4 linked regions of the Lonchura striata genome follow. The protein of the gene in region 4 interacts with the protein of the main gene of each other region in a pairwise test. Links are inferred from orthologs where the notes say so. Each region holds a gene or a part of one and is shown on either strand. Other genes may lie near its edges. The genes, in order: SLC25A6, NEU4, AP1M2 and AP2B1.

Region 1 (7,643 bases), on a different chromosome or scaffold from region 4:
ATGCTCTTCCTTAAGCTGCTCTAAGCTGTTTGAATCAGAAACAATCAAATCCTAAAGTTGGCACTCTTGTAACTGTCACAGACTTTAAAACTGTGCCCCTAAGTACTATGTCTCTGACTGTAAAATTTGAATAGAATGTGTTTGGCTACCACCCAGCCTTCATTTACTCTGTGATTAAACACAACAATAAGCATTAGTCCCTTGGGCATGGTGTCTGTGGTCATGTACCACAGCTTTGCACTCTCAGGATAATTAAGCGTTGGAGCAGATGGTCCAGGGAGGTTGTGGAATCTCTGTCCTTGGAGGCTTCCATGTGTGAAGCCAGTCCTAAAGAAGCTGAGCTGATTGCAGAGCTGCCCTGCTATGAGTGGGAGGCTGAACTAGAGAGCTCCTGTGGTCTGTTTCAGACTCAGGTGTTCTACAATCATGTGATGCAGCCAGTCACCTGAGGAATTATAAGCTCATTTTACTAATATACAAATTAAGTTTTTCAGTTGCTCTGAATATCTTTTGCTGACTGGTAGAAGGAGTGGATTTAGTAGTCTTAACACTGAAAAGATTCTAAGCAATATGCATAACTAAGGAAAGATTTCCTAACATGAAGAATGAGGAGGGGTTAAGTTTTAAAACTTTTTGATTATTATCGAATGTCTGAGCTGTACAAATTGGAATGGCTCTGAGGAGATTGTATTAAAGTGCAGAAAGGTATGAATGTTACACTGCGCTTCCTAATAAAATCACTCTGAACTGCTGCTATTTTCATCTGAGGTGGTGTAAGGCCAAAAGGCAAGTACGTATCGCAATGCTTTTGTCAGTAGCCTTCTCTTCACATCCCTTTCCCCTCACAAGTCTGAATATGGAGAAGAAGGGTCTGTAAATCAGATGATTTAAGTTCTATTTTCATCCTTAGGTCAGTCCCACCACAAAGAATTTTAGGTCCTACAGAAATAACATACAGAATGTATACAGAATGTATTGAACAGAAACATTGACTTCTCCTTTGCTTCTGTAATGCTTGCCATCCACTCTTCTCTCTGCTTGGCATTTCAACATGAATGTGAAACAGCAGTATATCTCAAAGAAATGCAACTCTATTCCTGTCTTACTGTTTTCTATAGTCATCATGCCAAGTCTACAGAAGTTATCCCCTTTTTCCTCTGAAAACAGAGACGTGATTTGACTTGTGAGTGTTTCATCACTCCATACTGTGAAAGGGAATTTCCTGGGGTTTGTGAGAGGAGTGGATTATTCATTGATTAGTGGATTTAATAGCAGAGCAAATCTATAAATGATAAAGGAAATCACCCAGGTCTTGTAGTTTGCACCCCTCTATATGGCAGCAGAAATTGTCTTGCCTGATAATGGATTAGAACTGTTGCATGCATTTGTTTTTAAACTAGGCTGTGCAATTTTGCTGGTTGAAATGGTGTTGGATAATGAAAAGAAGAACAGGAGCACAGCTCTGCTGCAGTCTTTCAACATGCTTGTGCAGACAGAAGGAAAGGAGAGAAGTGGCTCTGAATATCAAGCTTTGCTGGAACAACATGGATTCACAGATATCAGAATCAGAATAACAGGAAATTTGTTAGATGCCATTCTCTGTGTTAAGACCTAGAAAAAACGTATTAAGCAGTAGTCTGGATGTCTTATGTTTGATGTTTTGTAATTATCCAAATACATTCTCAACTTCCCATCAATACCATAAACAAGAAATGTAACGAGAAATGTCAGCTTTTTGGTGTTACTTCTCAAAAGGGGGAAAGATTGATTACATTTATTTTAGACTTCAGTAGAATGATGCCAGGAGATTCTGTGGCTGCACAACATGTGTAGGACACAAATGGTGTCATCAGCCTAAGGGCAGTATTCACACTGCGAGAAATCACTGTTTCTTCATAGTTGGTGCAAGTAGAATAGTAGAGTTTTTAGACCAGCGCACATTGCTTTGCCCCTGTTCTAGGAGGTTAATGTTGGTATCATTTTAATGCTACATCACCATCCATTTTAGTATCATTTTATATTATACCCTCTACTGTAAATAAACATACTCTAATCAACTCTGGAAACTGCTACTGCAATGGTGTAAGATTGGAAACAAGAACTGGAGCAGCAGCTTCCTGAGAGAGTCAAGATGGACTGCTCTGCTTTGAGAGAGGCTTCCAAAAAAAGGCAGTTATATAAAAAGCACAAGTTTTCCCTGTGATTGTAATTTGAGATTAAATGTGAGGGCACAGAGTTTGTTTCAGGAACATCATCCCACACCGTTTTAGCTCTACTTAATTTTGAGCTCCCAAGCTGAACAGAACATGACAATTACAGACTGAACAAGTTCCCCATTACAAGTTATGTGTCTTTTACCTTCATTTTTCACACTGATGATACTCAAGAGTCTTAGAATGTGAAGTTCTTTTTAAATCAATAGAAAATTTTATGGTGAACAATATCTCAAGTCTTGCAGACAAAGTATTGTCCTAAGAGAGTATTAACATTCAGTTATGGGCTTTTTTTTAAAAAAAAGCCCATAACTATGTGTGCCTCCCTGAATGAATGTACCACAGCATTTCATAAAATTATGTTTAGAATATGGTCTTCTAACACCCTATGTGCAAAACCCTCTGTGAGCACAGGAGTCACTTCAGTCTATTATGCTTCAGAAGAGCACAGTTTACTTTTGATCTTCTGGTATGCAAAAAAAAAAAGTATAGTGACATATCTTGTACTAGAGCAGAGACAAAGACTATGCCTGGCACTTTTTCTTCTCACAACATGCTCTCTTGAGAGACATGCTCTCATTTTGAAATCCTGCAAATTACATATATGTGTAAGCAGTGGTTTCTGGCATCTCAGCTACTGCAGCTTTGTGGTTCACCAGTCGCCTGTTTAAAAAAAAGGTTTGGCCTTATTTACTTTGGTTGGAAACACCCACTAAAAGTGAAAGCAGGTGATGTGTACTAATGCCCTCCAGCTAGAACAATTTCAACACATTTTAGAAAGAATAGGTATAACTTCAGACAGAAGTTTGACAAGTTCAAAATATCAATTTCAGCATACAGTAAAATTAGCAAAGTCACTGATAGAAACCACACCTGTCTTGGTAGGGCCTGAGTGCCTGCCAGGAGTGCTTGCTCTGACAGCCTGCAGAGGAGGTTTTCACAACATCTAACTTCAAGTGCCCATACAAGAAGTTGGAACCACCCTGTCCTATGGTCCCACAGGAAACTGCAGCTAAGTCCTTTGGTATTCCGTTGTCTTGGATCAGTTCAGTGATATACAGAAAAGCCCCATGATGTGACCCTTGGCACTGGCAGTACTAAGGAGGAGGTGGGAACAGAACTTGGGAATAAGGATATGCCATGGATTAGCATTACCCAGAAGGTAGAATGGAGCAAAACTGACAGTGCCTGAAATCTGCTCCCCTCCACCCGAGAGCTGCTGCTGCCCCACAGGGAGCCCATGCAGAAAGCTGTGTCTTCCTTCTAGACGGGCTTCGAGCAATTGCTGCAGAGCCTGCTAGTTCACTAGCTTGTGAATGTGCTGCTCATTGACTACTGCTTGGGCCCACAGACCCACACCCCAAAGCCAGTGCTCCAGCAGCTCACACTCAGCTTCACAGAATCAGAATCACAGAATCAGTTATGTAGGAAAAGAAATCTCAGACCATTAAGTACAATCCCTGACCCAAAACCACATCAGCAGATCATGGCACCAAGTGCCACATCTTTGCTTAGATACACCAAGGGACTTTCACAAGACCACTTCCCTGGACAGTCCATTCTAATGTCTCATCACCCTTTCTGTGAAAAAATTCCTCCTAACGTTCAACCCAACCCTCCCCATGTAAGGCTCGAGGCTGTTTTCCAGGCAGCTAGCTGTCCTGTCGCTGGCTGCGTGGGAAAAGAGGCCGACCCCCACCTGGCTACAGCCTCCTTTTGGTGGTTCTAGAGAGCGGTAAGGTCACCCATGAGCCTCCTTTTCTCCAGGCTAACCAGCCCCAGCTCCCTTAGTCACTTCTCACGGGACTTGTGCTTCACCAGCTTCATTCTCCTTATCTGCATCCACTCCAACACTTCAATGTCTTTCCTGGACTAAAGGGCCCAGAACTGGGCACAGTACTCGAGGAGTGGCTTCACCAGTGCCGAGTGCAGGGGCAGGATTACTGCCCTGGTCCTCTTAGCCAGGATGCCATTGACTTTCCTGGGCACCAGCTGGCTCATTTAACAATGCTGCCACCAGCACCCAGCGTCCCTTTTACGCAGGGCAGTTTCCTAGCCAGTCTGCCACCAGTCTGTAGCCCTGCACGGCGTTGTCGTCACCCAAGTGCATTTGGCATTTGGTCCTGTTGAATGAACCTCATACAGTTAGCGCCCATCGATCGCTCTGCAGAGCCTGCGTGCCGGGCGGTACGGGGGCCCGCTGGGCTGTGCAGGCTGGGCGGGCGCTACCGGCAGCGGCGATGGCGGAGAGCGCTCGGGCCGGCGGCCGCGGCGGGGCCAATGGCGCGGGCAGCGGGCGGGCCGCGGCGGGTGACGCGGCGCTGCGACACTGGCGCCGCAGCGGGGCGGAGCGCGAGGCCGGGCCGCGGGCGGGCCGCGTCCCACCCCCCGTGCGGCTGGCCAATGGGGCGGCGGGGCGTGGCCGGCGCGGCCGGCATTAAGCCCATGCGCGGGGCCGCTCCCGCCCTTTCGGCTTGAGCGGCAGCAGCGCTTCCTTCCCGGCGGCTCCGGCGCGGCGCGAACATGGCGGACCAGGCCATCTCCTTCCTCAAGGACTTTCTGGCGGGCGGCGTCGCCGCCGCCATCAGCAAGACGGCGGTGGCGCCCATCGAGCGGGTCAAGCTCTTGCTCCAGGTCAGCGGTGCGGGCGAGAGAGGGCGGCGCGGGCGGCGCCCGTCGCTGCCCCCGTGGGCGCCGGGCCGGGCGGGGGCCGCGGCCAGCGCCGGACAAAGGGCGCGAGCGAGGCGGCGGCGGCTGGCGGAAGGGTCACGTGAGCGGCCGCGGGGAAGCCGAAGCCGGTCCCGCCATGCGGGGCGGAGAGCGGAGGGAGGGCCGGGCCGAGGGGGGCGGCCGCCGATGGTGTCACTTCCTGCCGCCCCCGCTCCCGGCGCCCGGGGCACGGCAGGGAGGGGAGGGCGGCCGCTCTCCGCCGCCATCTTGGCGGCCTCCACGTGACGCGCGCCCGGGCCGCGATTGGGCGGCGGGCGGGGCGGGGCCGGGGCGCGGCCGGCGCGCGCGGCCCGGCGTGACCCGCGGCGCCCCAAGGTGACTCGAGTGACCTTCGCCGCGCTCCCCCGGCCCCGCGGGCACCTCTGCCGCCCTAACGCGGCTCTCGGGAGACTCCCTCCCCAGGCCCGGCTTCGTCAGTAAAGGCTCTCAGCTCTACGTATGCCCGGCGTATTTGTCGTGGTGTATTTGTCTTATACTTGCCCTTGTACTTCACCGAATCAGTTTGGTAAAGACCTCAGAGAGATCATGAAGCCCAACCTAATGCCACGTAGTCTAATTTAAAGTAGACTGTGGCGCTAAGTGCCTCATCCAGTCTTAAGCACTTCCAGGGATGGTTGCTTCACTAGTCCCTAGGCATTCCGTTCCAAAGTCTAAACACTTCTTATCTGAAGAAATTCCTCCCCTGCTTCCCCCTAAACCTTCCTTGGTACAGCTTGAGGCTGTGTTCTTTTGTCATGTCACTAGTTGCCTGGGAGGAGAGGCTGGCCCCCACCTTGCTACAGTCTCCCTTCAGGTAGTAGAGGAATTGCTCACAGTTTTCTGTTCTTGTTTTGCCAAATTCTGATTTCTGGAAAAGCTTGAAAGCAATTTTTAGTCTTCTTCTTTGTAATACCAACAATGGCCATTCAGAATTAGCAACTTTGTTTTATAGTAAAAGCAGGTTTAAGCCCAGCTGCAGCATAGACCTGTAAAGGCAAGTGATCAATATTTGTATTTTTACTTGCAGGTGCAACATGCAAGCAAACAGATTGCTGCTGATAAGCAGTACAAGGGCATCATCGATTGTGTAGTGCGTATTCCAAAGGAACAAGGAGTGCTGTCTTTTTGGCGAGGAAACTTGGCAAATGTCATCAGATACTTCCCAACTCAAGCTCTTAATTTTGCCTTCAAGGATAAGTATAAGCAGGTGTTTCTGGGAGGTGTAGACAAGCACACTCAGTTCTGGAGGTATTTTGCTGGTAACCTGGCATCTGGTGGTGCAGCTGGAGCCACTTCCCTCTGCTTTGTCTACCCCTTGGATTTTGCAAGAACCCGTTTGGCTGCTGATGTTGGAAAAGCTGGTGCAGACAGAGAATTCTCTGGTCTCGGGGACTGTCTAGTCAAAATCACCAAGTCTGATGGTGTGCGTGGCTTGTACCAAGGGTTCAATGTCTCTGTGCAAGGCATCATCATCTATAGAGCTGCCTACTTTGGGATCTATGATACAGCAAAAGGTAATATTTCAGAGGGGATCTGAAAAACCTGTTTTTAGAATTGCATTCTCTGTTTTTGGATATGTGAAAGTGAAGGGGGATATCAGTGCCACATCCCTGACACTGCTGTATACAAAGGAAAACTTGTACATGTATTAATGGGAGCAGCCTACCTGCAAGTACTGGTTTTGTACTTCAAGCAGTTGCTACTAAGGCCAGGAGAGTATGTTGGTGACCAGACAGAATAAGAATAATTTATTTTTTGTTCAGTGCATACTGAAGTTACGTTGGACCAGTTCAAGTGTGTTAAGCAGAATGGGACTGAGCAGTGCCTTCTGCAAAGTAATTTTTAAGCTTGACATCTGGGGAAATAAGCCATTAGTGCTAGTTTGTAGTGTAATGTTATCCACAGGGACAGTGACTTTAAGTGATGTATTTTTAATAAAAGTGTAGTGAATAGTCAAGTCTTCTCATGCCAGTCTAAAAAGAATGCTTGTGCTTAAAATACTTAAACTGTGATTACTGAGAAGAAAGTCTTCCAAATACAGCTTCAGTATGTTTAAAGTTTGTGAAATGTTATGCTGCAATTTTATTTAGACTATGGGTTTACAGTGTTTCATACTAGTTTATCTAGTAAAATAACTGTCATGCAGAGAGTGCACTAGAGGAGGATGTGCAAGGTAAAAAACTAATTGCCATTTTTGTTTCACTGCAGGCATGCTCCCAGATCCCAGAAACACTCACATTGTTATCAGCTGGATGATCGCCCAGACAGTGACGGCTGTGGCTGGCGTTGTCTCCTATCCTTTCGATACAGTGCGGCGTAGAATGATGATGCAGTCAGGACGCAAAGGAGGTAGGCTCTAAATCCATGGAGCTGTTAATGCTGTTGAAAAAGCTTTAACAAGATTAAGTTCTTTTTTACTAGTAGCCATCCTCAGAGTTAGAGTTTATTGTTCCAAAAATCTGGTTTATTTTATTGTACTCAAATGAGGAAATGCAGTAAGGCTCAACCTGAGATTATCAGGATTTATGCTGAGGACTTTTCATTATGGAATATGAAATTAAAAAATGGACTGCCTGTTTGCACTGTTAGATTAAACAAAGGTATGAAAAAGGAGGCATAATATTTTAGCAAGTATTGTGTTACAAGTTTTAAATTGTGGTTTGGGACATCACAAAGCAGTTAAGTGAAACAGGACAGTTGTTAAAATTACCTGAGATAAAA
Region 2 (7,409 bases), on a different chromosome or scaffold from region 4:
AGATCCCTTCTGAGTCCCAGCTGGAGTACACTGGTTATCATGGTATCATAGGATTGTTTGAATTGGAAGAGACATTAATGATCATGCCACTCCAACCCCCTGCAATGTGCAGGGAACCTTTGATACATCATGGTTGCTTAATTAGCGCTGGAAAATACTCCACCCTCATCATTATCCACCCTCCCCCTTTTCAAAGTGAGGTGTAATAAAACCATTACAGGTTCTGTTGGGTTATTTGATTTTCTGCCTTGAGAAATCATATTTATATTGCAAAAGAACCTCAGTTTAGTGGATTTTTTTCCTTAGTTTAGTGGGTTTTTTTGCAATCCCCATCTTCTGGAGTGATGTGATTACAGGAGCTGCTCAGGTTTCTTGCCAGGGAAGTCTTTATGTCCCTACAAAGGGCTCGTTTTCTGGTGAATAATCTAGGAGTTTGAATAGTGAATAAGCTCTAAAGCCCCAGAAAACCAAAAGAAAAGCAAAACAAAAGGCAGCCAAGCAGAGCAGGAGGCTGTGGGAAGAGCTTAGGCTCTGCCTGAAGCACATTGTGTCTTGCCAAAGGCTGAATTAGGAGAGTAAAAGTGAAAGTGCAATTTCTCACTGTCTTGCCTCTAACACAGCTTGGGGTCCAAAGGTGGCTGCCAAAACTGAGATTTAAAACTGTGCTCACATTGATTAAAGTTCCCAAGGGCAAGATGTGAAATGCGGTGGTTTGGAGGACTATTGGATAAAAATCCACTGAAACTTATTTTTTTTCCCAGGCATGCCAGGTGTCTCATCATTTTCAGTTTCTGCCTGGGACTTTCCTGCCTCTCAGGATTCCTCCATATGAAGAATAAGAATTACAGGTGAGTCAGAAGCAAGGCTGCACAGTTTCCTGTACCTGGAGCAGCTGGGACTGATCTCTGACACCTGATTTATTTCTCATGAGGCCTTGGGTTGATGTTCAAAGGGTGGTGGCTTAAAACTAGGTCTTAGATCCGTGTTTGGGGAAGGAATTGATTTAGCCAAAGTGCAGCCTCTTAGGGACCAAACCAGCTGTGCAGGGAAAGGGGATTAAGCTAAAGTCTTTGGTAAATGAGAATCTGGAGAGGGGGAAAACTGGAGGGGGAAAACCTCTACACTAGAGGGTTGGGGCTGACTCAGATAAAGCCTTGGACCATCTGCAGGTGTGGTGTCAGAGGAGCACCTGGGTGTGGCTTTGCCAGGTCTCAGAGATGGGGTGCAGCACCAGAGAGTCTCTTTGCCCCATGTGTCACCTTCCTGCAGCATCTCGAAGAGCCACGAGGAGCTGCTGATCCCTCCCACGCTGTGCCATGCCAAGACGAACGTCATGTTCCTCAAAACCCACAAGACTGCCAGCAGCACTGTGCTCAACATCATGTTCAGGTTCGCAGAGAGGTACAACCTCACTGTCGCCCTCCCTGCTGACCAGCTCGTCCACCTGGGATACCCAAGGACTTTTGTGGCCCACTTTGTGGAGGGCTTTGAAACCATAGGCCAAAATTACAACATCATGTGCAATCACCTGCGGTTTAACCCCTTGGAGGTAAGAAAGAGCCATGACACCTGAGGAGAAACTTGGTTGGGACAGGACTAACCTCTTCTTCCTTCCACAAATAGGTAAAAAAGGTGATGGCAGCCAACACTTTCTACTTCTCCATCCTGAGGAACCCCATTCTTCTGCTGGAGTCTTCCTACATCTACTACAAGGACTCTGTGCCTGCCTTCCGGAGTTCCAAGAATGTGAACGAATTCCTGGAATCACCCACAAAGTATTACCACCCAGCAGATTACAGGAAAAACATGTACGCCAGGAATATCATGTGGTTTGACTTTGGCTACGATAACAACGCGAAGGATGACAAGAACTACACCCAGGCTGTCCTGGAAGAGATCGAGCAGAACTTCCACCTCATCTTGATAGCAGACTACTTTGATGAGTCCATGATCCTCTTGAAGCACACTTTGTGCTGGGACCTGGATGATGTGATTTACTTCAAGCTCAATTCCAGAAGCCAGGACACTGTCCAGACGTTGACTGCGGAAAGCGAGGAGCAGATAAAAGTGTGGTGCTCGCTGGACTGGAAGCTCTACTTGCACTTCAACCAGAGCTTCTGGAGGAGAATTGAGCAGACCATAGGGCTCAGGGTGCTGGGAGAGGAGGTGGATCACCTGCGGACCAGACAGAAGGAGCTCATGGAGACTTGTCTCTCAGAGCAGGAGGCAGTGAGGAAGGATCACATCAGGAATAAAGCTCTTCTGCCTTTCCAGTCAGGGGCTGCAAATATCCTGGGTTACAACCTCAAACAAGACTTGGACAACAAGACTCTGAGAACCTGCCAGAAAATGGTCATACCAGAGCTCCAGTACACGTCCTACCTTTATGCTGTCCAACACCCGCACAAGAAGAGGAAGGATGTGGGGCTGCCATTGCTGTGGACCAGTCTCCAGGAGAAGATGCAGCTCCCACAGTCCAACTAGGACATGTGGCAACACACTGTGGCTTCCCACCGCTTTGCATCACCCCTTGTCTGACATGTAACTGACCCACAGGACTCTTGTGCATTGAGAGGAAGGCAGTGGGGGCTTTGTTTAGGGACACCAAGTTGGTGGCTGGTCTCTTTTTGGGGACCTTGAGCCAAAGGCTTTGCATCATCCAGATCCTGGGTGATCCCACCTGCCTGCTTCTGGCTGGAGGGAGCCAGGCTGGCTGCAACTGGTCAAGATATTCCAGCCTCTTAATCATTAATCGGGAGCGTGATCATTTGCCTTCATTTCATTTTATTTGATATCCATCAGTCTGGTCACAGCTCACTGGAGCAAGTACTGACTTTGGAGGGTTTAGGGGACAGGGAGGGCGGTGTGAGAAGGGGACACAGTGCTGGAAGAAGCAGGAGTCCACGCTCATGAGGACTAACCACCACACGCTGCTGGAGCTGCCTTTGGTGTGGGGGTCTCAGGCATCCTGCCCAAAGCCAGGCAGGCTGGGCTGCCTTGCCCAGTGGCATGTAAGCTGTGCCTCTCACAAGTGTCACCAGGTGAATGGGACACTGTCCCACATAGGAGAGCTCGGTGCTCCCCTGGGAGGGGGTTTCGTGGTTTTGACCTTTGCTCTCAGGCAAGGGTGCCCGGGCATGGATGTTCCATTGGGTGCAGCATCCCCAAAGCCCTTTATCAGCAGACACGTTTTTGGGGCTCCCATTGCTGTGTTGGCCAAACTCTCCAGCAGGGATTAGGAGGGGATGGAGTGAGGGACAGCTTTGGGCACACTGGTACATCCAGATCCCTACTGCTGTCCTGACCAGCACAAGCAGGAGGAGATGCTGGCCCAGCTTTAAAACACTGGGGTTTTGTCAGCGTAAGTTGGCACTGACAGAAGTGTTGGGAGCAGGTGACAAGCAGTGACACCAAATCCATTTGGCTTGGTGCTGCCATCCTCACAAACCTTCCTGGCACTGCTGCAGCAGCAGGGCCCTGGATGGCAGGATGGGGAGGATGCATCTGGGGTCCAGATGTTGCCTTGGGGGTGAAGATGTGGGGCAGCAGCTCCAGCTAGGAAGCAGGAATGATGCTGTCAGGGGGAGAGGGGTGAGAAGCAGAGCCAGGATTTTCCTCAGTTGTGTTTAGCAGCTGAGGCAGGGGTTAACCAGCCCAGGTGTCCAGCAGGAACAATCCAGATTAAAAGCACTTTCCCTCACTAAAATTAACCCGAGGCTTTTGTGGCAATCAGGCGGAGCTGCTGGAGCCACACGTGGTCACCCTGGGCCATCCCAGGGGCCCTTCCCTGGCAATTCTCCAGCCTCCACCTCAATTTTCCCCTTGGAGCTTCTGATGCGTGATTTGCCCTATGGATTTTGTCAAGCCCTTTTAGCTAAACTGATCATACAGATGGAATATTGGAATATTAGAGTATAGGTATAAAAATGGTTTCTTAGTAGCTGATCTATGTGTATGTGGGGCTCCTGGGAAGTCTGGGGATCCTGGGAGGGCTGAGATTCCTGGGAAGTTTGTGCATTCTCAGGTGCTGGGGGTGCCAATAGGGCTGGGGATCCTGGAAAGGCTGGGAGGGCTGGAGGTCCATGGAGGACTGGGGGTCCCGGGACCCTCTGGACCACAGCTCCCAGGCTGGGGAGCTCACGGCGGGGTGGGCTGTGGTGAGCACGGGCTGGAGCCCCTGGGCAGGGAAGTGTAGCCTCTCCCAGCCTGCAGGAGGAGGGAAACTGAGGCAGGAGATGCGATTCCCGCCCCATGGACCCCCTTGCTTCCCCTGGCGGGGTTCCGGGCGAGGTGTCTCGGGGCTCTCCCGGGCCACGGGGGCGCCTTCGTGCCGCCGCTGGCTCAGCGTCGCTGCGGGGCCGCGCCGGGGCAGCCCGTGACCGGCGGGGGTCCCTGCCGGGGACGCGGCAGCTCTGCGGACAGCCAGCCTGCCTCCTGCTGCGGCCGGGGACACGGCACACTCCGCTGAGCAGGACCCGGTGAGTGCCTTCCCTTTCTCCGGGGGGTGTCGGCTCAGCAAAAGCTCCCGATGAACGCACAGCCGAGAGCGGCTCCTGACTGCTCCGCCCGAGCTCCTCCTGGAAAATGTAGGGACATGGAAGCTGGCGACAGCTGACCTGTCCCTGAAGGAAGGGCTTTGGGAACAGCTCTCACCCACTGCCGCAGGGACAGCCCGGCTGGGGACCCCCCTGTCCGTGCTGCGCACCTCGGGATCCCCCCAGGGAGCGGGGGAAACGAGGGATCCGCTGGGTGCGCTGCGCTGGAGGCGGCAGAGGAGCAGGAGCAGCCCCGACCCTGTCCCGATGAGCCTGGGCTGCTCTGGAGGTCCCTGCCCTCCCCGTGCTGCTGCAGGAGGAGAGCATGGAGCTGCAGGTCTCACCCTGCTCTTCGCTCACTGGCCTTCATTTCCCGGACAAGCATCTTAAAGATCGTTATAAATGAATCAGTCAATTTAATAACTAAAGGAATCCGTTAAATTGAATCAAAGTAAAATCTGGAAAAGCTACAAGCAAGTCAGCACCGAGCCAGGCGATCGGTGCTGGGTGAACAGGGTCTGGACTAATGCAGCACTATACCCTAGTAGTTCACAGGGTACTGATTTTACAGGCTTTGTTTTATACTGTTTCTAGACTTAGTGGGATTCTGGGGGGGGCGGTGGGGGGGAGGTGTCTTCCTGTTTCTTTTTGTCCTTTTTTCACATATTCATGCGTGTACTTTTCTTGTGGTGTTTCTAAATGGAGGTTTTCCTGGAATACTCTGATTGCTAAAATCCTGTTAAATGGTAATATCTTCAAATATTTTGTTCCGGCAATGAATATTTATCTTATCATTCAAGGCATATTTTCTAGACAGAATAATCCTTCAGAATAACCATATTTTGAGACAGGAATTCACCCTGTGTATATTGCTCTTTCCCATCACTTGGTTCTATTAAAAAGACTACTGTATTTTTTAGTCCCGAGCACAAATTTATTCTAAATTATATATTACAAAGATCAAATTCACTTCATTTTATTTTGGGGTCCCCAGGTCAGCCTCCTTGCTGATACACTATGCCCTGACCCATCTCTGAGCTGTGGTGACTTGCCAGTGGACGCTCTCTCCACCCCAGCCCTGTCTGTCAGCCCCTGCTCCCGGGGGGTTACCCAGACCCAAGCCCACCAAGTAAAACCCCAAACCCTTCCAAGAACAGCCCCGTGCCCCTGGCCATGCCCAGCAGCCGGCCTCCCCTCCTTCATCGGCCCACCACAACCTTCTGCTGCAGCCACCATGGGCTCCCGGCACTTCCCGGCCCGGACCGTGCTCTTCGAGAAGGAGTCCAGCGGTGTCACGTACCGCGTGCCCGCCCTGCTCTACCTGCCCTGCGTGGCCAAGCTGCTGGCGTTCGCCGAGGAGCGGCTCAGCGCGGACGATGCCCACGCCAACCTGCTGGTGCTGCGCCGCGGCACCATCTACGGCAGCTACGTGGAGGTGGGACGGGGCTGCACCGGCGTGGGGACACGCTGGGGCTGTCCTCATCGCTTGGTGGGGCACAGCCAGGCTCCTGGAGACAGCCGCGTGGGAGAGGGGCTGGCGTGGGTGGAGTGAATCCCAGGGTCACGGGTTGGTTTTGCTTGGAAGGGACCTCAAAGGCCATTTCATTCCGTGCCCTGCTGTGAGCAGGGACACCTTCCGCTATCCCTGGTTGCTCCAAGCCCTGTCCAGCCCAGCCAGGAGCACTTCAGGGATGAGCAAAAAGTTGGGCATGGTCCTCACCCCTCTCTGTCCTCTCCTTCTCCTCCTCCTCCTCCTCCCTGGGCAGTGGGAAGACATGCGAGTGCTGGAGACGGCAACGCTGCAGCACCACCGGTCAATGAACCCCTGCCCCCTCTACGATGAGTTCACGGGCACGCTCTTCCTCTTCTTCATCACGGTGCTGGGCAGGACGCCTGAAGCCTACCAGATTGTCACTGGCCAAAATGTCACCCGCCTCTGCTGTGTCACCAGCACTGACCAGGGCCTGAGCTGGAGCACAGCCACAGACCTGACACAGCAGGTCATTGGGGCGACCATCAAAGGTACCCAGCTGCAGGGGGTGAGGAGAGGGGAGAGCAGCCAGCACGGAGGGGTGTCCCTGGGTTTTGGTCTCCTGGAACCACCAGTGACGTTGCTGGGGTGATTTTGACGCAGGAATCCCACAGGCTTCCAAAAAGGTGGAAGAGGACCTCAAGCAGAGGGGAAAAAGATGGAGGGAGTATGCATATCAGTTACTGAGAGTGGGGAGAAGATGGAGAGGCCCCACAGCCACGGGGAGCATGTGTGAGGACAACTAGGCAGCGCTGGGCTCTGTTGCCCTCCCACCCCACTGCTTGGCTTGACTGGGAGGAATCCCTGGGCACCTTTCCACACGGGGCCTGGCAGGGCGCTGTGGGGGTCACTCTTTACCCCATCCCACCTTCACCCCATCCCATCTCCGCTCCCCAGACTGGGCGACATTCGCGCTGGGCCCCGGGCACGGGATCCAGCTGCGTTCCGGCCGGCTGCTGGTGCCAGCCTACAGTTACCACATCGACTGCAAGGAGTGCTTCGGGCAGCTCTGCAAGACCACCCCGCACTCCTTCGCCTTCTACAGCGACGACCACGGCCGCGGCTGGCGCTTCGGGGAGTTCATCCCCAACCTGCAGACGGGCGAGTGCCAGCTGGTCTCTGTGGACGAGGAGGACGGATCCAACGTCCTCTACTGCAACGCCCGCAGCCCCTTGGGCTTCAGGGTCCAGGCGCTCAGCACGGATGACGGGGCCGTGTTCCACGGGGGGCAGCTGGTGCAGCGGCTGGTGGAGCCGCCCCACGGCTGTCACGGCAGCGTCATCGGCTTCCCCGCGCCGCTCGTGTACGTCCGCGCCGCCTCCCGGGACGCCGTGCTGCCCCGC
Region 3 (6,932 bases), on a different chromosome or scaffold from region 4:
TTCGGGATATTTTTGGGGTCTCATTTTCTTCGGGATATTTTTGGGGCCCCATTTTCTTCGGGATATTTTTGGGGTCTCATTTTCTTCGGGATATTTTTGGGGTCTCGTTTGTTTTGGGATATTTTTGGGGGTTCATTTTCTTCGGGATATTTTTGGGGGTTCGTTTCCTTTGGGATATTTTTGGGGGTTCATTTTCTTCGGGATATTTTTGGGGCTCGTTTGTTTTGGGATATTTTTGGGGTCTCGTTTCCTTTGGGATATTTTTGGGGTCTCGTTTACTTTGGGATATTTTTGGGGCCCCGTTTCCTTTGGGATATTTTTGGGGGTTCGTTTTCTTCGGGATATTTTTGGGGTTTGTTTCCTTTGGGATATTTTTGGGGGTTCGTTTCCTTCGGGATATTTTTGGGGCCCCATTTTCTTTGGGATATTTTTGGGGGGGCTCCGTTTTCCGGGGGGCCGCTCTCCCCTCTCCGAACCCCCCGAACCCCCGGAACCGATCCCGGGCCAGCCCCGGGGCCGCCGCTCCCGGTGACGCCGCGGAACCGCCGGAGCCGGTTTTTATCCCGGCCGCGGCTGCCGGGCCGGTCCTGCGGTTACCGGGGAGCTTCACCCCAAAATCCCCCAAAAAACCCCCAAAAAACCAACCGCGGGCCCCCCAAAAAACCGCGGGGGGGGGGGGGCGCGGCCGATTTTACTTTCGCTTTTTATCTCCCGGTTTTCCGCCCGGTTTCGGTTCGTTTTTCCGCCTTTCCGTTTCTCTCCTCCCGCCGCCCGCCCGTAGGAACGCCCCAAAACCGCCGGTAACCCCCCAAAAAAACCCCCCGGACCCACCGGGAGCCCCGAACGGAGCCCCCCGACCCCCCAAAAAATTCCCCCGAGCTCCGGTCGCCGTTCCGACCCCCCCAAAATCCGCCGCCCCCGCCGCCGTTACCGTGTTTGCCGTAGTAGTTGTCCCCGTGTCCCCCCATCCCGGACCCGTTCCCGTTCCCGTTCCCGTTCGCACCGGGCTGGGCAGGGCTCAGGCGACCCCGCCCCAAAATCCGCCCTCCGGGGCACGAACGGGAGCCAAGCCCCGCCCCGGGAGCGGCGGAGCCCCGGTGCACCGGGGAGAGCGCGGAGGAGCGGGCACCGGCACCGGGGGGCAGCGGGGAGAGCTCCGGTCCCGGGGTTACCGAGAATTCACACACCGGGGCAAAGCGAGGAGCTCCGGTACCGGGGTTACCGGGAATTCAGACACTGGGGCAAAGCGAGGAGCTCCGGTCCCGGTACCGGGAAGCTCCGGGGTTACCGGGGGATTCAGACACGGGAGCAAACAGAGGAGCTCCGGTACCGGGAATCTCCGGGGTTACCGGGGGATTCTGGCACCGGGGCAAAGCGAGGAGCTCCGGTACCGGGGTTACCGGGAGATTCAGGCACCGGGGCAAAGCGAGGAGCTCCGGTCCCGGTACCGGGAAGCTCCGGGGTTACCGGGGGATTCAGACACGGGAGCAAACAGAGGAGCTCCGGTCCCGGGAATCTCCGGGGTTACCGGGGAATTCTGGCACCGGGGCAAACCGAGGAGCTCCGGTCCCGGGGTTACCGGGAATTCAGCCACCGGGGCAAACAGAGGAGCTCCGGTCCCGGTACCGGGAAGCTCCGGGGCGCGGTCCGGCCCCGCCAGACCCGGTCCGGAGGCCGGTACCGGGCGGGGAGTGTCCGGTCGGTGCCGGGAAAAGGGCGGCGGGCGGTGCCGGCTCCCCGCCGCCGTGACGCCGGTTCCAGCCCCGCCCCGGTTCTCGTGCGGTAAATAAATCACCGGGAGCGGCCGCCGGTGATGTCAGCACCGGGAACAAAGAGCGGGCCGGGAAAAACGGGGGGTCCCGCCGCTCGGGGGGCTCCGGTGCCCGCGGGGAGGGGCCCGGGGCTGCCTCCCGGGTCCCCTCCCTCCCTCCGGTACCGGAGCGGGCACCGGGGACACCGCCGGGACCCCGCCCGGGAGCCCGAGCCCCCCAAAATGGGGGTCACGAAATGGGGGTCCTGAAATGGGGGTCCTGAAATGGGGGTCACGAAATGGGAGTCACGAAATGGGGGTCCTGAAATGGGGGTCCTGAAATGGGGGACACGAAATGGGGGTCCTGAAATGGGGTCACGAAATGGGGGACCCGAAATGGGGTCCTGAAATGGGGGTCACGAAATGGGGGACACGAAATGGGGGTCACGAAATGGGGGTCACCAAAATGGGGGTCACAAAATGGGGGTCACGAAATGGGGGTCACGAAATGGGGGTCACGAAATGGGGGTCACGAAATGGGGGTCCTGAAATGGGGGTCACGAAATGGGGGACACGAAATGGGGGTCACGAAATGGGGGTCCTGAAATGGGGGTCACCAAAATGGGGGTCACGAATTGGGGGTCCTGAAATGGGGGACACGAAATGGGGGTCCTGAAATGGGGGTCACGAAATGGGGGTCACGAAATGGGGGTCCTGAAATGGGGGTCACGAAATGGGGGTCCTGAAATGGGGGTCTCGAAATGGGGGTCCCGAAATGGGGGTCACGAATTGGGGGTCACGAATTGGGGTCTCCAAATGGGGGTCCCGAAATGGGGGTCACGAAATGGGGGTCACGAAATGGGGGTCCTGAAATGGGGGACCCGAAATGGGGGTCACGAAATGGGGGTCCCGAAATGGGGGTCCTGAAATGGGGGTCACGAAATGGGGGTCACCAAAATGGGGTCGCCAAAATGGGGGTTCCAAAACGGGGTCCCCAAACGCGGGGGTCCCCAAAATGGGGGTCTCCAAACGTGGGGGTCTCCAAGGGTGGGGGTCCCCAAATCCGGGGGTCCCCAAAATGGGGGTTCCAAAACGGGGTCTCCAAACGCGGGGGTCACCAAAATGGGGGTCCCCAAAACGGGGGTCCCCAAAATGGGGTCACCAAAATGGGGGTCCCCAAAACGGGGGTCCCCAAAATGGGGTCACCAAAATGGGGGTCCCCAAAACGGGGGTCCCCAAAATGGGGTCACCAAAATGGGGGTCCCCAAAACGGGGGTCCCCAAGGGGGGGGGGTCCCCAAAACTGGGTTCCCCAAAACGGGGATTCCCCAAAATGGGGGTCCCGAAGCCGGGGGTCCCAACCCCGGGGGTTCGGGGGGACCCCCGGGCGGGGCGCGGGGCGGATGCTCGGTACCGTAATCGCCGTCCGGGTCCCTCCTGCCCGCGGGCCGGTCCATGGCGGCTCTGGGCGGCTCCTCCGGTAGCACCGGAGCCCCCCCGGTATCCCCGGTATCCCCGGTACCCCCGGGCTGTGCCTGCGGGCGGGGCGGCTCCGGGCCCGGCCCTCAGCACCGATCCGCCCCCGGGGCCGGGCCCGGGCCCGTCCCGCCCCTCCCGGGGCTCCGGTGGGACCGGAGGATGCGGGGGGGGGGGTGCGGGAATTGGAAGGTGCCCGAAGGGAATTGGGGGGTCTGGGGGCTTTTGGGGGGGTCACGCAGAGTGGGGGATGTCGGCATGGAGACCCCCACCCCGGAGGGGAGGATGTGGGGGTGCAGCGATCCCCCTCCCGTGGGGGTCACCCGTGGGGGGGGGGTCTGGGGGTGCAGGGACCACCCAAGGTGGGGGGTCTGATGGAGACCCCTCATGGGTGGGGGGCACAGGGGGTCTGGGGGGGCTGCAGCGACCCCCAGGGTGGGGAATCCAGCCATCAGAAGCTGCGGGGACACCCCCCCCCCCCCCAAAAAAGGAAATTTTGGGGGCGCAGAGACCCCCTCCCCACCGTGGGGCACGCGGGGGTCCCAAACCCACCTTTGGGTGTCACCCCACGCCCCCCACCCCAAAACGGAGGGGTGGGGCTGGGGGTGGCCGTGGAGTGGGCGAGGTTGGGGGGTCTCCCCCCAGCAGGGGAGGGGGTGAGACCCCCGGTGTGGGGAGAGGGGCGGGGCCGTCCCCTTTAAGGCGCGGCCGCGCACCTGGGCAGGTGACGGTGCCGGAGGTGACGGCGCGGGAGCCATGGCCGCCTCCGCCCTCTTCATCCTGGACCTCAAGGGGAAGGTGAGACCCCCCGACAGACCCCCAAAACCCGCCGGGGGTCGCCCCGCTGTCCCCTCTGTCCCTAAAGGTCAGCTGAGGTCAGTGGTGGATTTTGGGGAGGGGGTTTCTCCACTGTGACCCCCTCCCCACACTCACCACGACCACCCCAAACCCTAACGTGGGTGGGGGTCTCCCCTCTGTTGGGGCTGGGGGTCTCCCCACTGGGGTACCCTCTGTCCTTATCAGTGGCCGTGACCCCGTGGATTTTGGGGAGGGGGTTTCTCCACCTGTGACCCCCTCCCCACACCCACCACGACCACCCCAAACCCTACCGTGGGTGGGGGTCTCCCCTCTGTTGGGTCTGGGGGTCTCCCCACTGGGGTCCCCTCTGTCCCTAAAGGTCAGCCAAGGTCAGTGGTGGTGACCCCCCCTGTGACCCCGTGGATTTTGGGGAGGGGGTTTCTCCACTGTGACCCCCTCCCCACACCCACCACGACCACCCTACTTGGGGTGGGGGTCTCCCCACTGTCCCCTCTGTCCCTGAAGGTCAGCCAAGGTCAGTGGTGGTGACCCCCCCATGACCCCGTGGATTTTGGGGATTTTGGGGAGGGGGTTTCTCCACTGTGACCCCCTCCCCACACCGCCACGACCACCCCAAACCCTAACGTGGGTGGGGGTCTCCCCTCTGCCCGGGCTGGGGGTCTCCCCACTGGGGTCCCCTCTGTCCCTAAAGGTCAGCCAAGGTCAGTGGTGGTGACCCCCCCCCCGTGACCCCGTGGATTTTGGGGAGGGGGTTTCTCCACGTGTGACCCCCTCCCCACACCCACCACGACCACCCTACTTGGGGTGGGGGTCTCCCCACTGTCCTCTCTGTCCCTAAAGGTCAGCCAAGGTCAGTGGTGGTGACCCCCCCGTGACCCCGTGGATTTTGGGGATTTTGGGGAGGGGGTTTCTCCACTGTGACCCCCTCCCCACACCCCCACGACCACCCCAAACCCTAATGTGGGTGGGGGTCTCCCCTCTGTTGGGGCTGGGGGTCTCCCCACTGGGGTCCCCTCTGTCCCTAAAGGTCAGCCAAGGTCAGTGGTGGTGACCCCCCCCGTGACCCCGTGGATTTTGGGGAGGGGGTTTCTCCACCTGTGACCCCCTCCCCACACCCACCACGACCACCCTACTTGGGGTGGGGGTCTCCCCACTGTCCCCTCTGTCCCTGAAGGTCAGCCAAGGTCAGTGGTGGTGACCCCCCCATGACCCCGTGGATTTTGGGGATTTTGGGGAGGGGGTTTCTCCACTGTGACCCCCTCCCCACACCGCCACGACCACCCCAAACCCTAACGTGGGTGGGGGTCTCCCCTCTGCCCGGGCTGGGGGTCTCCCCACTGGGGTCCCCTCTGTCCCTAAAGGTCAGCCAAGGTCAGTGGTGGTGACCCCCCCCCCGTGACCCCGTGGATTTTGGGGAGGGGGTTTCTCCACGTGTGACCCCCTCCCCACACCCACCACGACCACCCTACTTGGGGTGGGGGTCTCCCCACTGTCCTCTCTGTCCCTAAAGGTCAGCCAAGGTCAGTGGTGGTGACCCCCCCGTGACCCCGTGGATTTTGGGGATTTTGGGGAGGGGGTTTCTCCACTGTGACCCCCTCCCCACACCCCCACGACCACCCCAAACCCTAATGTGGGTGGGGGTCTCCCCTCTGTTGGGGCTGGGGGTCTCCCCACTGGGGTCCCCTCTGTCCCTAAAGGTCAGCCAAGGTCAGTGGTGGTGACCCCCCCCGTGACCCCGTGGATTTTGGGGAGGGGGTTTCTCCACCTGTGACCCCCTCCCCACACCCACCACGACCACCCTACTTGGGGTGGGGGTCTCCCCACTGTCCCCTCTGTCCCTGAAGGTCAGCCAAGGTCAGTGGTGGTGACCCCCCCGTGACCCCGTGGATTTTGGGGATTTTGGGGAGGGGGTTTCTCCACTGTGACCCCTCCCCACACCCCCACGACCACCCCAAACCCTACTTGGGGTGGGGGTCTCCCCTCTGTTGGGGCTGGGGTCTCCCCACTGCCCCCTCTGCCCTTCTCAGTGACCGTGACCCCCCCCCCGACCCCGAGGCGTGCCGAGCAACTTGGGGAGAGGGGAAATTGGGGTGGGGGTCCCCATTTCTGACCCCCCGGCCGCCCCGCAGCCGCTGATCAGCCGCAGCTACAAGGGGGACGTGGGGCTGGGGGACATCGAGAACTTCCTGGGGGTCCTGCAGCAGCGCGAGGAGGAGGGGACGCTGACGCCCGTCCTCCCCTGCGGCCACCTCCACTTCCTGTGGATCAAACACGCCAACCTCTACCGTATCCTTCCGGGACCCCCTCCCCAAAATCACCCCGGGACCCCTCCCCAGCCTCGGGTTTTTCCTTAAGCCCACCTCAGTGGTGGCCACCACCAAGAAGAACGGCAACGCCTCCTTGGTCTTCTCCTTCCTCTACAAGGTGGTGGAGGTGAGCTGGGGAGGGGTCTCGGGTGGGTCTGGGGGTGAGGACCACCCTAATTTAGGGTTTTCCCCGCACCCCGGGGTGCTGGGACCCCCTCCCCAAGGTGTTCTGCGAGTACTTCAAGGAGCTGGAGGAGGAGAGCGTCCGCGACAACTTCGTCATCGTCTACGAGCTGCTGGACGAGCTGATGGACTTCGGCTTCCCGCAGACCACGGACAGCAAGATCCTGCAGGAGTGAGCGTGGGGAGGGGGCCACGGGATCCCCTTCCCACCCCGCTGCCCCTTCCCACCCCAATTCCCATCCCTTTCCCACCCCAATCCTCGTTCCCACCCCAATTCCCATCCCTATCCCACCCCAATCTCCATCCCTATCCCACCCCAATCCTCGTTCCCACCCCAATTCCCATCCCCTTCCCACCCCAATCCTTGTTCCCACCCCAATTCCCATCCCCTTCCCACCC
Region 4 (7,293 bases):
CTTAAAGGCTGCCAGCAAAGCAGTAAATCATCTGTTCTCTAAATGCTGCCTTGTCTTGCCTCTAAACCCTGCAGGTCTTGCTGGCTCAGCAACAAAAGGACCAGCACAGCTTTGAACTCCAGGACTGCCCAGCAGCAAAGTCAGATTGTTCCTCCTTAACTCCTTCCTCCCTCATCCCTTCACCAACCCCAATGCCATCACCATTCCATTTTTCCCCATCCACCTGGACCAGCTGAACACCTCAGCAGTTGAATTCCAAGCAGCTGCCGACGGGCAATGCCCCAATTTCCACCCCTTTCTCCTGGGATCATCCTTTCCAATTGCCAAACATCTGCATGAGGATCAACCTGTTGCTTTTCCCAGTTTCCTGGAGCTGCTGCCTGCCCTGTGCCCACCTGGTTTCCACCTCATCCAATTAGGCTGAATTACTGGGTTTGGTTTGATTTCTCTCCCTTTCTGCTCCTGCCAAGCCTGGAGACAGCTCTGGAAACACATTCCTGGTGCAGAGGAGGTTTAACCTCCTTCCAAAACAGAGTTGGGAAAGCCATGTGAGCCACAATGAATGCAATTCTTCCAGCAAAAATCTAACAGCCCCCCCTGAAAGCAGAGGCTGCTGTGAAGCTTGTTTTGTAATTAAAATCAGAGCCTGTGCTCAGCTGCAATATTACTGCTGACAGAGTCCTTCAGGTTTGAGCTCAGCTTAAAAGGAAGACTTAAAATGTTTTTCTCTGTGAGAGTATTTGGCACAGTGCCATGCCCAAAGCACTGAACGTGGCCTTGATGTTTGCATTATGTGGGGATTTGTCATCCAGGGTCACATCTCAGCTGAGCTGCTCTAACACAGCTTTAACTGGGGCCAGAGCAGATTAGAGAGAAAATGGAGGGGAGGGAAAAAAAACCCAGCCCAAACACCATAAACATCAGCCCATTTGAATAAAGCCACACACAGAGAGGAAGGAACCCTGCTGGCTTTCAGAGATGGTTGTTAAACCTCAAGTGCAACATATTTTGCTGTTTTTCTCCTTTCATATACTTGGAAACATGAAGAATCCTAGAAACGCTCAGACAGGGCTAAGCACAGCTCATGCCTTTCCAACCTTCTTTCATGGATCTAAATGAGAGCTTAGGTCAACAACCAGCCTGCCCTATTCCAGGTGCAGCAGAGGGTAAAGCTCCTTTTCTCACAAGCACACAGATTGCTGCTTCATGTGTGTCAGAGCTTGCTTTGCACACTGTTCAGAGACAGCCTGCCAGCAGCACTGGCTATTATCTCATCACTAACAATCTCAGCATTCTTTACAGCAAATGGAACCAGATATTTAAAACACTGCTGTTTGTGTCACTGCAGAAAATGCCAGCTCCTTGTACGCAAATCTAAACCCAGGAGAGCTAAGGTAAATTAGAACATCAAGAACAGCCTTGTATTTTCAGAAGAAAAATCTACTTTAGACTGCCCCTCCTCACTATTGTTCTATGCCCAGCACTTGCTGAGATGGAAACAGGTAAGAGGTGTTCAAAGCTGACAGCAAAAGGCTCCTCCTGATCCAACCCCAGCAAAGGAGAAGAGATGAGAATGAGGAATGGCTCCAGAAAGCTCCAGCAATGCTTAATGCTACAAACAGTGGCTTGATATTTCAGTGTAGGCTGAACCAAAGCAAGATAAGCCTCCTCAGCCCCAACCCACACAGAAAACCTGACCCTGTGTCTGACCAACACCTGCTTGACCCCACACATGACCCCAGGCAGCCTCACCCGCTCCCCAGCACTGACCCCACACAGGAGGGTGACAGGTTTAAGGGTCTTGGATTAAGGCAAGCTCCTGGACACTGAAACCATCAATCCCTAAATCTCTCAACTGATCCCTGGTTTAATTCCAGTGTAAGTGGTGCCACCCATTTTTCCTGGAAAGCCTCTCAAGGAGCTGTGTGACAGCCCAAGTGTGGCCCAGGGCCACTGGAGAACCAGGAAGATAAACACAACAATGGAACATGGATGGCAGAGGAAGAGCTGCTCTGCAGCCCTGAACTTGTGCTGGCACAAGGATTTTGTTCCCATTCTGGAGACGCAACACCCCCTTGGTGGTCCCCATTCCACCTGTTCCTCCTACCACCTACCACCATTCCTTGGAAGCCCCATCCCAGCTTTGCTGCCAGCCCCTCCCACACCTCCAGCAGGACTCCCAGCACCCACCCACACTCCAGACTGGCATCCCCCTAAGCCCCCTGCCCACCAGACCTTCCCCAGATCTCTCCCAGGATCCCCCAGCTGCAGGCACATTCCCCACAAATCCCAGTTTCCCTCCCAGCATTGCCTGCCAGTCCCTCTTAGTACCCAGCCCTTATCCCTAACTGCTCCCACTGCTACCCCAGTACCTTGCTGTGCTCATTCCCATCCCAGTCCATCCTCCAGCACCCCCACCTCACCCCAGGACCCACTGACCCCACTCCTCACCCCTCCACCTCCTCTGCAACCACCTGCCCACTCCTCCCATCCTCTTCCAGTCCACCTCCAGAACCACTCCCAGTGCCTGACCAGCGACTCTCCCCACGCCACTCCAGTTCCCCCTCCCAGGAGCACTCACCCCCTCCCAGTACCCCCCTGGTGCCCCTTCCCACCCCACCCCAGGTGTCCCTCCCAGTACCCTTCATCTCTCCCAGTATCCCCTTCCCACCTATACCAGTGCCCCCCAGTATCCCCTCCCATCGTCCCTAAGCAGCATCCCTCTCTCCCCGCCCCACCCCAGTACCTCACAGCTTCTCCCCCACCCACCCCTCCCCACCCTATGGCAGCACCCCACCGCCGCCCTCCCCTCTCCCAGATCCCCTCCCAGCACCCGCTCAGCCCCTCCTCATTCCCCACCAGCGCCCCTCCCCGCCGCCCGGCCGCCGCTCCCAGCGCCCTCAGCCCCGGCCCCCTCACGGACCGCACTCACCGCTGCGGGGGCGGCGGCGGCGGAACCGGAAGCGGCGGGGCCGGGCGGGCTCGCGACGGCCCCGCCACCATAGAGCGGCGGCGGCGCGCGGCGCGCGCTTCCGGGAGAGCCCCCTGGCGGCGGGGCGGCGGGCCGGCGGCATGGCGGAGCTGGGCGCGCACCTCACGGCCGCCCCGGCCGGCGAGGAGCGGCCGTCCGTGTTCGAGGCGGTGGCCCAGGACAGCCTGATGGCCGCCGTGAAACCCGCCCTGCAGCACCTGGTCAAGGTGAGGGCGAGGCGGGCCGCGGGTGAAGGGAGAGGAGGGGGGGCTGGCGTGTGACTCCGGCCGCGCTCAGGGGCAGCGGGACGCTTGGGAGCCACCTGAATTGTGGTTGTTATGTGTAATAAATATAATTTGCGCCATTCCTTGTATGAAATATGTAATATTGAATACTTGTTAAATCATGCCCGTCGTATTAGTTCGCCCCGCACCCTTGCAGGCGAGACTGGGTGTATATTGGAAACTGATTTATAAGTAAAAAGATGTGGCTCGGCCAGGAGCTGGGCCATGGCTGGGCTCCAGGTGTTGATCATCGGTGCTGATCGTCCAAGATGGATATGGAAATCCTCAGACAGATCCATGTGAATGCAGCCTTCCCGTAAACTCTCATCAAGAATTCAACTACTCCGGACATTGAATTATTTCTCCTCATCACCAAAAAAAGAAAATCTTATTAACCTATAGACTCTGAATAGAAGAAAAGACTAACTGCTGGAATCTTGGCCTCAGGCGGAATTTTCCCTATAAAAACCGCTTGTACCAGGATGGAGGTGTGGGCATAGGAGAAAACCTCTGCTGAGGCTGACTCCTTGTTGCACACCCAGGGTCGATCCCGGGCTCGGCTCTGTCCTTTCTGTGTGGCTGGCTAGATAGAATTTGACCGCAAATAAAATTATTTTTATTTTTAATCTGGCTGAATAAATTCTCGTTTATAACATGGTGAGAATGAGAGGCATCGTTTATAGCTGCTCTGATTTATAATTTAGCGCTTTACTCTGCTTTTTACATCCTTCCCTTCCTCAGGCACAGGCTGCCCAGAGAAGCTGTGGCTGCCCCATCCCTGGGATGTTCAAATCCAGATTGGACGGGCCTTGGAGCAGTCAGGGATAGCAGAAGGTGTCGGGCTGGAACCGCATGATCTATAATGCTCCTTCCAGCCCAGACCACTCTGATTCCTCCTGTTTTGTGTCCCTTTTCCAACAGGTGCTTGCTGAGTCTAATCCTGCCCGGTATGGGTTCCTCTGGCACTGGTTTGATGAGATCTATGTCCTTCTGGATTTGCTGCTCCAGCAGCACTCCCTGGCCAGGTGCAGTGCATCCTTCTCTGAGAACTTCTACAGCATGAAGAGGATCCCAATGGGAGATGGCAGACAGCGACCTCTGGCCACAGCTGGCCTGCCAAAGAGGCAGCACTGGAAGTCTCTGCTCCTGCTGGTTCTTGTTCCTTATCTGAAAGGGAAGCTGGAGAAACTGGTGTCCAGCCTGAGGGAGGAGGATGAGTACTCCATCCACCCTCCCTCCTCATCCTGGAAGCGCTTCTACAGAGCCTTTCTAGCTGCCTACCCCTATGTAAACATGACCTGGGAGGGCTGGTTTCTTATCCAGCAGCTCTGCTACATCCTGGGCAAGGCTGAGCATCATTCCCCCATGCTAAAGCTGGCTGGTGTCCGCCTGGTCAGGCTGACTGCAGAGGATATCCAGGCCCTGGAGAAGAAATGGGCTGAAACCACCTCAAGTCAAACACACAGGTATGGCAGAACCTGGCTCAGGTGTTGCTCTCCAGGGGGTTCTGTGGGCATGTAAATTTAGAGATGATGCTGCAAGTACAAGTGCCTTGTTCTCCAAAAATTCAAGATGAAAGTTTGCTCTTGACAAAATGTGCTCCAAAAGGATGTATTGTGAGTGAAAATAAGTAAACCAGTAGCAGGGATTAGCTTTAAACTATTTTGTGGTAATATTTCAGAATTTGGGGGCGTTTTTGGGCATGGAAGCCTTTATTCTGTTCAGTCTTCCCCTGCACTTTTCCAGCAAAGGAGGTGCAACAGTTGCAGCAATGTTGCTGAAAGGATTGAAACTTCTTTCTTTGATTTTCCTAAGCAGCAGTTAGTCATGGGCACACTCAATACCCTGTGATGCAGGAGTGAAACACTCTGTGGTCCAGGATCCTTTAATCCAAATTCTTCTGATTTAGACTTCTCAAAAAAGCAGCATTTGGATATTCCTTAAAATAAAAAAAGTATCTGAAACATCCTAGTAAGTGCAAATAGGGGGACGCATTGACCAACTAACTTAGCGTTAAGGAGCTGTGTGAAGCAGTCACTCCCCAGGTGCTTTTCCCATGGTTTCTAGATGGATAAATGTGCAGTAGTAACCACCTCTCCTGCTTCTCTCTGCTCCAGCTTTATCTCACGAGTGCAGTTGGCCCTGAGGAAAGCTCTGGCTGGCATTGCCTTCTCCCTGTCCACCGGCCTGTCCGTCAGCGTGTTCTTCCTCCAGTTCCTGGACTGGTGGTACTCCTCAGAAAACCAGGAGACCATCAAGTCCCTGACAGCGCTGCCCACGCCCCCACCGCCCGTGCACCTGGAGCAGGAGCCCGGCTCTGCTCTCCTGCCCAGCCTGAGGACCGTGTGCCCCCTGTGCCGCAAGGTCCGCGTGAACGCCACGGCCCTGGCCACCTCCGGCTTCGTGTTCTGCTACCGCTGCGCCCACGGCTACGTGAAGGCTCACCAGCGCTGCCCGGTCACGGGCTATGCCACAGAGCTGCAGCACCTGGTCAAACTCTACTCCCCTGAGAGCTGAAGGGCTGCCAGGAGTCTCCAGCACCTCTTTGTGCATCCCTTGGAAGGCTTCAGAGCACCGCAGCTCCTCGGTGAGCTCTGCAGCGCCCTTGGACTCGGTGGTTGGTCAGCTTTGCTGCCTTTGCACACCCTGGCAATGCTCTGCCCTTTGCTGATAAGCTGTTCAAACATCCTGGCAGTTGCAGAGGGATCATACAGCCCCTGCCTGTCAGCCAGCACTGAAGTGCCATAAAAGACCAGCTGAAAGGGAGGAAACATTGATCCTCACATCTACATTCCTCTTATCCAAATCGAAGACCAGCACTGGTGCTGCTTGAGGGCGTGAGCCAGCAAATTAAAGAGGTAGGGAGATTCTCTAGGCATGTTTTTCTTCCCTGGGCAGCTTCCCAGGCCCTTGTGCTGCCCAGGGTGAGCTCTGGCTTTGTCAGAGGTGGAGACAGGCTTAAACCTGTGCTCTTCAGCCTCCTGCATTTTCAGGCTCTTCATCTTGGAACTGAGAACATCACCCTCCAAATTCCCATCAACAGTTCTAAATTAAGACTTTTGACTGTTTAAGATGGACAAGAGGAATGTGACATTTTCTGCACAAGAGAGAAAATGACAAACCAGATTAAAACAAACTCCCAATTGATGAGAGGGGTTTATTGTTAAAGAAGTCTTTTCATTCATTATTACCTGCTTTTATAAAGCGAAATTCTTTCTTGACTGAGAACCTAATTTAATTCTTTTCTGGTTATTGAAAAAACAGCTTGCTTCTCTGGGGAGCAAGAGAGAGACATAAGAGAGACAAGACTAAAGCTGCTTTCATTTTTCCATGTGATGGTAGTGGATGTAAGATTAGCATTTTGTAGGCTGAGAATCTTTAATGTCTGAGCATTACATTGCAATTATTCCATTCCCAACCATGTAGCACATTCATATCGGAACAAAACATCCTTCCACTGAACAGAGGAGGAAATAAAAGCTGTGTGACATGGCTGGCTCTTGCTTGACACCTGATTTTTCAGATGAAAGGTTGTTTTCCTTACTCTAGGGAGCAGCAGTACTCCAGATATCACGGTGACAGTGCTTAGAGAATACAAGAGCAAAGTCTGCTGCACAGAGTCCAGGACCCCACTCTGGTCTTTCCAGATTTAGAGATATTTTCTAACATTTAATCCAGACATCTCATTTTCTCTCCACTTTAGCTCTGCTTCAGAAGATAAAAATCCCCAATATCCTCCTTCACCTGTAAGCAAGAGAATAAGGTTATTGAATAATGTGGGAAAATGCAGTAATTTGAATCTTCCCCAAACACCTAATAAACGAGATTTGTTCCTGGTGCTTTATTATCTCTGTACACCTCCCTGACCCTTCTACCTGTGCCACTATGGAATAATAAAAACTCTGATTTATCTTCTCCAGTAGCTATGGAGTCCATGAAGATACTTCTCTTCCCTTTAGAGAGCCAGTAAGGACACACATCTTACTGGAAGATGAATCACGTCGAGGTGTGAGATTTTCTGAGCTTCCACATCACTTT

What was found.
Region 1: the proteins of AP2B1 (region 4) and SLC25A6 interact in binary tests that used the Homo sapiens proteins (3 or more experiments, as listed by UniProt). The link is inferred for Lonchura striata from reciprocal best matches to the Homo sapiens genes AP2B1 and SLC25A6.
Region 2: the proteins of AP2B1 (region 4) and NEU4 interact in binary tests that used the Homo sapiens proteins (3 or more experiments, as listed by UniProt). The two-hybrid records come from large-scale screens. The link is inferred for Lonchura striata from reciprocal best matches to the Homo sapiens genes AP2B1 and NEU4.
Region 3: the proteins of AP2B1 (region 4) and AP1M2 interact in binary tests that used the Homo sapiens proteins (3 or more experiments, as listed by UniProt). The two-hybrid records come from large-scale screens. The link is inferred for Lonchura striata from reciprocal best matches to the Homo sapiens genes AP2B1 and AP1M2.

The regions. Positions count from the first base shown.
Region 1 is NC_134604.1:83,189,223-83,196,865, forward strand, and holds the start of SLC25A6 (ADP/ATP translocase 3), read left to right. Parts: upstream 1-4,637; 5' UTR 4,638-4,736; coding exon 4,737-4,847; intron 4,848-5,949; coding exon 5,950-6,436; intron 6,437-7,130; coding exon 7,131-7,271; intron 7,272-7,643. UniProt on the Homo sapiens protein: ADP:ATP antiporter that mediates import of ADP into the mitochondrial matrix for ATP synthesis, and export of ATP out to fuel the cell.
Region 2 is NC_134612.1:5,205,130-5,212,538, forward strand, and holds the start of NEU4 (sialidase-4), read left to right. Parts: upstream 1-4,390; 5' UTR 4,391-4,478; intron 4,479-5,764; 5' UTR 5,765-5,769; coding exon 5,770-5,970; intron 5,971-6,301; coding exon 6,302-6,557; intron 6,558-6,963; coding exon 6,964-7,409. Other genes in the region: GAL3ST2 (galactose-3-O-sulfotransferase 2), read left to right, coding at 762-848, 1,270-1,549, 1,624-2,484. UniProt on the Homo sapiens protein: Exo-alpha-sialidase that catalyzes the hydrolytic cleavage of the terminal sialic acid (N-acetylneuraminic acid, Neu5Ac) of a glycan moiety in the catabolism of glycolipids, glycoproteins and oligosacharides.
Region 3 is NC_134623.1:1,063,548-1,070,479, reverse strand, and holds the start of AP1M2 (AP-1 complex subunit mu-2), read left to right. Parts: upstream 1-3,926; 5' UTR 3,927-3,981; coding exon 3,982-4,023; intron 4,024-6,173; coding exon 6,174-6,330; intron 6,331-6,409; coding exon 6,410-6,477; intron 6,478-6,574; coding exon 6,575-6,705; intron 6,706-6,932. Other genes in the region: SLC44A2 (choline transporter-like protein 2), read right to left, coding at 932-968. UniProt on the Homo sapiens protein: Subunit of clathrin-associated adaptor protein complex 1 that plays a role in protein sorting in the trans-Golgi network (TGN) and endosomes.
Region 4 is NC_134622.1:5,985,516-5,992,808, forward strand, and holds the start of AP2B1 (AP-2 complex subunit beta), read right to left. Parts: upstream 3,008-7,293; 5' UTR 2,933-3,007; exon of another isoform or gene 2,924-2,932; intron 2,884-2,923; exon of another isoform or gene 2,860-2,883; intron 1-2,859. Other genes in the region: PEX12 (peroxisome assembly protein 12), read left to right, coding at 3,073-3,198, 4,177-4,721, 5,373-5,772. UniProt on the Homo sapiens protein: Component of the adaptor protein complex 2 (AP-2). Adaptor protein complexes function in protein transport via transport vesicles in different membrane traffic pathways.